Schizosaccharomyces pombe: one gene and its partner. The protein of the gene in region 2 interacts with the protein of the main gene of each other region in a biochemical or structural test. Each region holds a gene or a part of one and is shown on either strand. Other genes may lie near its edges.

What was found.
Region 1: the proteins of eso1 (region 2) and pol5 form a complex in vitro, tested with the Schizosaccharomyces pombe proteins (one study listed by BioGRID).

The regions. Positions count from the first base shown.
Region 1 is NC_003423.3:2,225,250-2,230,957, reverse strand, and holds pol5 (rRNA processing protein Pol5), read left to right. Parts: upstream 1-1,928; 5' UTR 1,929-1,969; coding exon 1,970-2,167; exon of another isoform or gene 2,168-2,236; coding exon 2,237-4,918; downstream 4,919-5,708. Other genes in the region: SPOM_SPBC14C8.15 (triglyceride lipase-cholesterol esterase), read right to left, coding at 1-469, 525-641, 696-730; SRR1 family protein, DNA-repair associated protein, Srr1, conflicting annotations across species, read right to left, coding at 4,815-5,570. UniProt on the Schizosaccharomyces pombe protein: Plays an important role in the regulation of rRNA transcription. Binds to rDNA promoter fragments.
Region 2 is NC_003423.3:4,276,362-4,281,958, forward strand, and holds eso1 (mitotic cohesin N-acetyltransferase/DNA polymerase eta Eso1 fusion protein), read right to left. Parts: upstream 3,293-5,597; 5' UTR 3,231-3,292; coding exon 612-3,230; 3' UTR 528-611; downstream 1-527. Other genes in the region: SPOM_SPBC16A3.12C (triglyceride lipase-cholesterol esterase), read left to right, coding at 1-338, 390-527; ale1 (MBOAT family O-acyltransferase), read right to left, coding at 3,635-5,164. UniProt on the Schizosaccharomyces pombe protein: Probable acetyltransferase required for the establishment of sister chromatid cohesion and couple the processes of cohesion and DNA replication to ensure that only sister chromatids become paired together.

The DNA of each region.
Region 1 (5,708 bases), 2.1 Mb from region 2:
AGAATCAAAACTGTTAACGGACAGTATATATTTAACAATGGAAGGTATGTCAAAAATAGCGATACTATCAAGACTGAAATCCCAAAACTTTGGATTTTGAGAGCTGAATTTGATATTCTTTATACTATATTTGTTTCCTCGTAAGTTTCCAAGCCAAACATCGTATCCTTGTTCCACAAGAGCAAATGGAATGGCATCTTCCTTTTTCAAGTTGCAGACCCAACTTTCAGAGTTCATCATTAGCCCATGAATAAATAATACAGGTGGGAGATAATTTAACTCTTCAATTTTTCCTTTTTTCTTTTTATACACCCGATGCAAGCCAAGCAAGTAGCCATCAGTTGTACGAACAAAGTGTTCTTCCAGATCATACCCATGAAGTGCACATAAATCGATGGTATCTCTTGCATCAGTTAATTTATTCGCGTTATCATCTACCAACAATTCAGGCAAAAAGTACGAGTATACTCTGCAAACCCCGAGGTTAGTATCAGTGACAATGGTATAAGTAATAGCTGACTCACTTTTTTGATTGCTCATAAAACCAATTCCGAAGTGGACTAGGTAAAATAACTGTACATATTCGAAACATGCTCTCCAACGCAATCAGTAAAAAACTGATTAAAATTTCCCCCTTTTCTCTAAAAACAAATGTTAGAATTTTCGTAAAATAGCAAATACAGAGAGCAACTAACAAGCAATATTTCATTATATTTCCATTCAGAGTCATTTTAGTTTTTTAATTAGCGATAAATTCTCAACTTTTGATAGATTATAACATTTGGATTCATATGGCGTTTGCGTAATTCAACTTGCCTATACTACCATGAGCAGCTTCTAACAAAAAACGGTCGCTTTGTAATTGAAATATTTTACGAGTTTTCGGGTATAATAAGTATTACAGATATATTCAAATATGTTCTTTTAAATTTAATTATTCCCAAAAATCCCCATTGCACTAATTTGTTATGAAAGACATTCAATTCTAGGATTTGTAAGTTAAATGCGAGCAAGATTTAACCAAACAATTTTTGAAAGGTAATCTTAGGAATCAAGAATGTGGCACTTATTGTTCCAAGAACAAACAATTTTTCTAAGGATTATGAAGTTGCACCTTGAGACCGGAATGTTTTATTATCATTTCTTACAAATTACAAAGTTCACAGACTCACGTTTTTTAATGTGATATAAGTGTATAATGAAATCTCTTAGTATTGTCTACAAGCGCCGATTTTATCGGCTGTTTATGTGCTTCAGTTTATGAGTTGAGAGGTTTACAGCAGGCAAAAAAAGATAATGTATACTCGATGCAGTTAAAGATGATGCATATATCGTAATCATTAGAGAAACAAACTTTTAGGGATATGATATGTACCAAATTACTAGTGCTTGAAAGCAAAATTTATTTCACATCCTTCAAAATCAATTCTGTAAAGACTTTTATCATAAAATATTCCCATAATTCGTAGAAACTTGGAAACAAATTGAAGATGTTTGTAACCTTTTAAGATACTCTTGGGACTTTTTTTGAGAACGTTCCCATCTACTTATCACTAGTCTTCGTATGAAAAAGCCGAACTTGTTTGATATTTATACTAAGAAAAAATTTTCGAGGATTTGGTCTTTTCAATGGATTGATTTTATTTCTCACATAATGAAATGCATGTTGATGACTGTATGATTAGTTTAAAAGAGATAAAACTTATTTTAAACAAAAGTAAAGTGCAAATTGTTACACTCGCATTGATGAGAGTCTGTAGCTTCCTTTCGAAAACTTGAAATTTCTATCACTGCTAAACCATGATTTATCAATTTCTTTACCAATTGTTACTTATTCTTCTATTTAGAAAATGAAAAGCTTTTTCATCTTTTGATTTGCATACGTAGCGTTTTCTGTTTTTTTTTCTCTTACTACCGAAGTTTGACTTAGACTCCCCTACAACCTCGATTGTGAGTAGTAGTACCAAACATGGCTACAAAAACACAATTAGAGTTGTTCACTAAGCTTACATCGAATGATAAAGCTATTCGGTTAAGCTCTGCTGCTCAACTCATTGATTCCTTGTCAAACGAAGAAGAATTAAAATATTCGTTAAACCGTTTGACCAAAGGTCTTTCTAGTGGTCGCGAAAGTGCGAGAATTGGATTTGCCGTTGCTTTAACAGAGGTATATACTTTTCCAACTTATTATTTATCTTGTCTTTGCATTTTTTTACTTAAACTAACCAAGAACTAGCTGTTAACTCGCACTAAAGATATTCGAGCTACTCATGTTTTAGATTTGTTGGTTAAGCATAACACTGCTTCTGGGAATCTAAAAGGCCAAGACGAAAGAGATTTTTATTTTGGTTTGCTTTTTGGATTACAGTCAATTGTATATTCTGGCATATTGACGCACAAGGAATCTACAATCGAAGATTTTCAGCGTGTGGTAGACTTACTTTTGCAATTATCTGGGAAGAAAAATTGGCTTCAAGATGTTTGCTTTTACGTGATATATAAATTGGTAGAGCAAATTCCCGAAATTTCCTTCTCTTCTAACGCATTTCTCGCAGTTAACAAACTTTTGCAAACTCCCGCAGTCTCTAAAAGTACTGAGGGTGTAGGTTTGTTTCTTTGCCTTACCCGCGTTCCAGATAATGTTAAATCAGAAGAGGTGGCTATGGCCAATTGGGAACCAGCTCATCCTTTGCATAAATCTAATTTAGTTACTCTTTCCAAGATTATGCGTCAGGCTGATGCTTCAGAAACTGGTGGACAAAACAGCGCTTGGAAACAAAAAATTCCAATGGTTTGGAAATATATTTTCGAGGAATATCAACGCAAGACATACTCGGGTTTGGCACCTTTTCATGATTTTTGGGCCGTTGTCGTGGATGAAGGCATTTTCTCTTCTACTTCTTCACTTGAACGAAAATTTTGGGGCTTTCAAATTATGGAGTTAGCTTTGGATTATGTATCTAGTGATAATATTGGTGATATTTTTTCTAAAAATTTTCTTCATTGTTTGATCAACCATTTGAGCGACGAAGATCGTTATTTGTATCGTGCAGCCAAGCGTGTTACCTCTAAACTCGAAAAAGTCAGTAAGCAGAACCCTACATTGGTCTATCCTATTGCCATTCACTTACTCGGCGAGCGTGGTTCGTTGAATTTTGATCGTGTTACCAATACCAAGTTAGTTGAGCATATCCTTCCCTTAGCTGATGAACAGGGCATTCTCCAACTCTTTCAACTATTGCTCAGTTATGTTAAACGTTGTCCTGAAGATATCGCCTCGGATACGAAAGCTGTAGAATGGAGACGTCAATGGGCGACTGATACTATGCTTAGTATATTACGGAGTAAGCGATCGATTAAACAAGAACCTTGGGTTCGTGAATTACTCGAAATATTCATTGCTTATGGCTACTTTGAGGTACCAGAATCTGAAGAAGTAATACCTAAATTTAGCGAAGGTACTCAAAATATGTTCCGCTTGCGATTGATGTCTGCGTTGAGTTATCTTAGTTCCAGTGCATTCCAACAGTCCCAAACTGATCATCAGTTGGGTGATAAAAATTGGCCTTATGTCGCACTGAATTATTTATTAGAGCTTGAAAAGAGTCCCAAAAATAATCTTCTTATTAGCATGGATGAGTCGGTCATCGAAATTGTACAGAAATCTTTGTCAGTTCTTCACAAAGTGACCAAGAAAATTGATAAAAAAGCACAACATTTGCAACAACTAAACGCCTTTCAACTACTGTACTCATTGGTCCTTCTTCAAGTATATGCTGGCGACACTGATTCAATTGATGTTTTGGAAGATATCGATAATTGCTATTCCAAGGTGTTTAATAAAAAATCGAAGCGAGAAAGCACCTCTAATGAGCCAACAGCTATGGAAATCCTTACTGAGGTTATGTTGTCTTTATTATCTCGACCTTCCTTGTTGCTTCGTAAACTTGTTGATATGTTATTTACCTCATTTTCTGAAGACATGAACCGTGAATCTATTCATTTAATTTGCGATGTTTTGAAAGCTAAAGAAAGTGTAAAAGACAGCGAAGGAATGTTCGCTGGAGAAGAGGTGGAGGAAGATGCTTTTGGCGAGACAGAAATGGATGAGGATGATTTCGAGGAGATAGACACAGATGAAATTGAAGAACAAAGTGATTGGGAAATGATCTCTAATCAAGATGCCTCTGACAACGAGGAGTTGGAGCGTAAACTTGACAAGGTATTAGAAGATGCCGATGCAAAGGTCAAAGACGAGGAAAGTTCTGAGGAGGAGCTGATGAATGATGAGCAAATGCTTGCGCTGGATGAAAAGCTAGCTGAGGTATTTCGAGAGCGCAAAAAAGCATCGAATAAGGAGAAGAAAAAGAACGCCCAAGAAACTAAACAACAAATTGTTCAGTTTAAAGTTAAAGTTATCGATCTTATTGATAACTATTATAAGACTCAACCTAATAACGGACTTGGTTTTGAGTTTTTGATCCCACTTTTGGAAATGATTTTAAAGACGAAGCACAAAGTTTTGGAGGAAAAAGGGCAAGCGGTATTTCGTAATCGCCTTAGCAAGTTAAAATGGACAGAAGAGAAACCTTCATCAAAAAATGTACTGGAAGCACTGAAGAAAGTACATGTATTATGCGGAAAAAAGGCATCACTTGGTTCTACAGGCTCGTCAATTTCGCAACTTCTGTTGAAATTACTAGCTGATACCCCTTACCTGAAAGAAGGTGTTGAAGTTTACCTTAAAAGCTTCCTTCTTTGGATACAAGAGCCCTCGAAGAGTCATTATAATGCAAACATTTTTCATGATTTTATTAACTGGGGTGCTCAGCAACGCTTGAAGCATCAACAAACTTCGACGGCTGCTTCTTCTCCACAAAAGACTGGGCATCATGAAAATGAAAAGACAAATCATTGAATGCATACACATTAGGGAATTCAGGGAATAAAAGTCGGGTATAATAATTTTTGGTACACATTTTGTAGACGTTTGGGTACGTAGAAACAATTTCTTTACTAGGCTTGTTGTCCACATATAGTTGTAAATTGTTGCCGCACATGATAAAATGCCTGGGATCATCATTTACATAGGCAGCTAACCAAGTTTCATATAGTGAAGTAGGGCAGTGTGGCATATAAAGTAGAGTGTATTTTAAGCAGCTGGGTGTTGGTGGGTCTGGCAAAACACAAAACCCTTTATTTTCGAGAAATTCGACATCATCTTTGAGAAATGCTGGATCATAAAATGAACAAAATCTTGGTTGCAAATTAAATATTTTCATAATTTCAAAAAAGAGAGACAACTGTAAAGAAGCTGTTAAAGTGTGTATTCTACCAAGCCCAAGGATAATGCATTTGTGGATAGGATCTTTAAATTCTGATAATTGACTTTGGACACTTTTTAAAAATTCAGAGTACTCTAATTTTTCTCTAGAATTATCTAATTTACGCTGTAAAGTATCTTGTGACCATAAATCTGTATCACCTTGAGTAATGGTGTTTGAAACCTTAGGAAATTTTCCTCTTCCATTTTTTTTTTTACGAGACCGTTTAACAACAATAAAGTCCATGTTTAAATTATCAATAAAGAAATAAATACCTGAGTAAAAACTTAAAGTGCAGGAAGGCCCAACACTTTTACAATCCCGGTTCCAATTGCAGCGAAAAATTTTAGAAGGATATAATGAACATGGAAATGAATACACACA
Region 2 (5,597 bases):
TTGTAAAAATTGTCGATGTATCCCTTAAAATTTTATTCAACTGGGACCTATCCAACATTTCTCTTAATCAAAAACTTTGCGGTTATGCACATCTTTACTCTTTTTCAAGTGTAAAGAGTGTTGTTCACTGGCTTCAGATTATAAAAAACTGTACTTTCCAGCTTTATGACGACGATATGGCTCTTCTAGCTGGATATGGTTCACGCCATTACCAAGTTCCTCTGTTTCCTACGAATAATATCAAATGCCCAATGCTGATACTATGGGGAGGTAAAGATACTTTGATCAATATGGAAGTAATGAGAACTGCTCTTCCTCCCCATGCAAAGGAAGTTTCGGTAAGCCTTTTATTTTATAGGTTTGTTGCTCAATATGCTAATATAAGTTAGATTGCTCATTATGAACATCTTGACTTTCTATGGGGCCAGGATGTTAAAGAGGAAGTGTTCCCAGTTGTAATAGATGCCCTTAAGCATCATTCATTAGGCAAAGCCAAACATTTCGTTAAACAAAACGGTTTTCATTAATGATTAATTAATAATTTAAAAAAAAAACTTCTATATAACGCTTAGATAGATATTTAGAACAACTTTAATTTTGTCAGACTATTTTCAACTTTCATAAACAGCATATCGAAGTGACTTCGAAGAACCATTGTTTCGAGAACGATGCCACGAAATAATGAACTGTTTACCACTTTCACTAGGCTGACTAAAAGCAACTTCTGCAGGCGATATAACGTAACCGTAAATGAATTTTTTTAAAGCATTGTCTAATAGTAAACTTGCTATCCCTTGTTTGCGTCTTGAAGCTGATACCCAAATCCTGGAAATACCCAATACAAACCCCTTTCGTAGATTTTCGTTTTTTATATATACTGCGGAAGAGGTGCTATTGTTGTTGTTGAGTTCAAGTTCATCGACTATGTATGCAGAAGATATACGCTCTGCCAGAAGTAATCCGACACATTTCTTATCTGATATGAATAGAAATGTGGTATATTTATCTACCCCAATTGTTTCAATAGGCTCACTTGAAAGTTCGTTATTTACGAAAGATAAAGCTTCCTCTGCTTTTCTTTGATCAATTAATGAGCTTTCTGAATTTATGCTGTATATGCAATCGGAACTCAAACCATAGTTAACGCGATAAATAGGAGAGCATTGAAAGGACACAGTAACACCTCCTAGAACCCGAGAATGAAACCTAGAATGAAGCAAAATATCTTCTTCGCTCGTTGAATTGTACTCCATAGAACATTCTGAACAAGTTACGGTGGAATTAGCCAAATCTAAGTGTAACTGGGTCATGTTGTCTGAGCTGTTGGAAATTGCTTTTGGCGTTTGCTTTTTCCAATTTGGTGTCAGATTTCCACCGTTTCCTAAAAATGCGTCCAAAAATGCTCTTTTGTTGTTTGTTTCATCGGATAAAGGTGCATAATGCTTGCTACCGGTTTTCCTTCCATATGTTTTAGGCTTTACTTGCTTAGGTTTATCATGGGATGGCGGTACTAAGTTATTATAGCGTTCTTTTCTCGAAATGGAGAGAGCTATATGATAATCTTCATGTTCATTTCTTTCGGATAAAGTAATTTTCTGTTCGCATTCTTCACACGTGTAAGTTTCATCAGCTGAATTCTCCGTTGGTTTAGAAACAGCGGTCTGTTGTAGCATATCAAAAATCCCTTTACCTTTACCTCTTTTCAACCTTTTAGGTGACTTTATATCTTTTTCCGAAGATAATTCAAAAGAATTATTTTCCCTCATATTTTCGTTCAATAATTTAGCGCGTCCCTCAATAGAAGGTGAAACAGAAGTAGACATGTAGATTTCATCATTGGACTTTTTTAAAAAACCCTCAATTCCCCTAGAATTACGATCAACCTCTATGATGTTTTGAAAGCTAATAGATAAGTTTGAAATCGGATATACATCGAATTCCTGTTGCAGTTGACGCAACAGTTTGGATGTTGCTTCAACAATAAACTGAGTGCTAATATCAACATTCATAGGTATTTGACTTGACCTTGACTTTCTCAGAAATCTTGATACAACAGTCAAACAAATGGTCTTGGGCCTTCTCATTCCTTCAAGTTCAAGGAATCGTGATCGAAGATCAGATGCGAATACTTGAAACCAGTTAATTGCATCTTCTTCAGACTTCACTTTTTGCTGAGAAAAATTTTTAGCCGACAACATTGATTTAATCTGAACTTGTGTAGTAATCTCAGTGTTATCAATTCCATGGCACAAATTCCAAACGAGTGGACCGTTAGTTTGACCAAGCTTATCTATCAAAAAGTCCATACTCATATTCCAAACATCCTTAATAGAATCTGTTCCTAATAAATTAATTATTTCTTCTCCAAATTTTCCGCCCAGCATTCTTATATCAGTAATCTTTAATGACACTAAATAATCTTGAATTGCATTTTTCGTTAAAATAGTTTGCTTGTTTGGTTTATTACGCGAGCTGACAAGCTTTGAAAGCATTGGGTTAAAAGAAACTCCTGCTGAGCACGTGTATTTGAGTTGCAAGTATATATCATCGCGAATTTCTTTCACGATTTTTGCAGCGTAAAATAAAAAAACATCATCCCAATCCCTTTCATAATCTTCTTTCGTTCTATCTACAACTTCTTCTTCAATGACCATTCCAAACTCAGCAGGCCATAGTAGCACTGGAGCCTGCGGCAAAGCAACATTTGAGTCCTCAGAGGGAATTTTCAAGTAAGGATATTCCTCCAACACAATCCGTTTAACATCACTCGTAAGTTCAATAAAACATTCGTCAATACTAGCCTTCTTAACCACAGGCGCATGTTTCTTTATGATGTTAAGAATCTTAACGCTTTCGTGCCGATAAGGATCTAAACAGGTTTTATAGTAGTTAGGATTTGGGTTTTCATGGTACTTAGCCTCTGACTCCCCAGCTTTCCAAGTTTTTACATGAGCGGTACAAAGCTCTGGACATTTCTTTTTTGCTTCAGTAACTGTTTCATGGCGTGAAATATTCGCTGCACGGGCTGCGTAGTTTACAGCAATAAGCCCTTGCCATTGTTGAACAGCAAGGGGAACTGAATGGTCTAATCCTAGGCGAACACTTTCGACTTGAGCGTAAAAAGCATCCTGATCAATATGAGCTACAACCCTTAACGGTGAATTTTGTGTACCTGCTTTATCACAATATTGCAAGTCCTTCCAAGAGAATTTGCTTTTGCCTAATTCCATTCAGTTCATACCCTCAAAAAAGTTCTTTAATAAGAATCGCTCAAGTTCTATAGCGCGTTCGTGTTGAATTTAGTGGACTAAGGTACTAGATATAGCAACGTTACCTACTACCAGATACTAAAGCAAAATAAATTCAAACTCTCATAATGTTGTAACCAAAATAAATCATCAAAGGAAATTAGATGTTAAACTTAAAAACTGAATTGAGAGAAAACATTCAGGAATTTTATTTAAGAGACTACTTTAATATGTAAACATATATATAAACACAATGAATATACTGCCGCCATGAAAGGTATTGTATATGATGAACAATTAAGATGAAATTGCTGTTAACAAAGCTGCAAAATATTCAAATGCTTCAATTTATTGCATATGATGCTACCTCATAGCAAATTAATCCTTCATTCATCATTTTCAAAATCTTCTCTTTTGGGCACCGACATATTTAACATGTCCGTATCACTAGTGGATTTCATAGATTGTTCGTAACTTTTTAGTTTATAGCTGTTGACTCTGGATCGTATCTTATTATCTAATTTCGACCTTATTGGGGAATTGAACACAGCCAGAGCTATCAATATATATATATGCACAATAAAATATAGCTCTTTCCAAACGTGTATTGATTCTTTTAGATTCAAAAGAAGGAAAGAGATAATTAGATAGGAGAGAGAGAGGTTTGTTGCTACCATACCAATAACATCATAGACTCGCTTAAAAGGCCCAGGAGTTTCCATATCTGGTTTAAGGAAAAATGGGCGAACATGGCGACGCGTGTATTTTGCAACTGTTTGGATAAAGGCTGCGGAAACAAAAGTCAAATAATATCCAGCAGAAACTCCATGCCACATTGCACTAACAGTGAATGTGCTTAGCGTACTTTTGAACCCTGGACGCTTTCCCTTCTTTGCAACTCTCAAATAAACGTAATTTCGAAGCCATTTATTGGTATTCATGTTCCAAGCCTCAAGAGCACATTTGATATTATCTGCGAATTCGAACTTAATAGGGTCAATATTCTTCACTCGATCCCAACGAGGATGCTTAGAAGAATCCAGGCCATTATAACCAATGCCTGACAATATACATGCACCGTCAGAAAGTTCCCATGCGCCATAATATTTCATTCTTGCAACAAAAGCAGTTATGCAAACGTATCCATATTTTAGCAAAATAGGGGAGGAAGCAAACTTAGGTGTAAGTAGAAACTTTAAAGGATAGATTGAGCTTCCGGTAATAAATAAAATCAGCCACAACAGACCTCGCCAGCAACGACCTAAGGCTGGTTCCAAACTGTGTGGTGTTATCTGTTTTTCATAAGGATCAGCCAAAGGCTTAAACATAGAAAGGGTTATAAACCTTTCGTAATCAACATAATCAAAAGCTGGACCAACAAGTAATGAGGGAAAGAAAAATACGTATCCAAGGAAATACAAGATATTAGGAATCTTTCTCAACGCGCGGTCTTTTTGATAAGAAGATAATTCACTTGAAGGAAGACGACCGTCGTAAACAGACCAGGCAAACGCTGTAAGCTTCATACATAGTACCATTTGTGAAGCAGTAATATCAGTATTTTCTGAAGGGTAAATGTACCGAATAACATGGCTGCTAAATGTATGGCCAAGGATTACTATAAATATGATCCATGGCATTCGTGACGATCGATAAAACGCGGCCACGAAATATGTGAACAAAGCGTCAAATAGCAAAACTAAAACGCCATCGTAAAGATGATGAACACCAATGAGATAAAATAAACCTATGCTTATTGAAAATAAGTTTCTAATCCATGGAGCCGAAGGAAGTCTTTTTAGTATGCCGGCAAACGGGTATGCTGAAAGAAAACAAAACAGTAACTTGAGCTGATCCGGGTGGACTCCAAGGAAAGAAGAGAAGTATTCAAATGGTATATCAATAAGATAAGCCATTGTTAATGTAGACAATACTGTCTCCTGCTTTGGGAATGCCTTTGAATTGAACAACTGATATTAAACACTCAACAATCGATTATTCTTTAATCACGAATGTACAGTGAAGATTGTACCCAGAGTTTGGTGTTGGTGAAGTTTTAGCTCATGAACACCAACAATTTCTGGTCTAAAGAACTAGCACAACTTTTGTCACAAATTATTCAAGAAACCCACGGTCCTTGTTGAGCTACTATAATCAACTGATCAACTGACAACATTTAAGAATATGACCCAATTTTACAACGTATCTATCCAAAACTACACTGTAAAGCTTAACGAGAATTGCACTGATATTTCATGAAATATCAAGATAGTACAGCTATGCTTCACATATGGTAGGCTCAGATAACATATTACAAGGTACTATTTTATAAACAGTTAAAGACCTTGA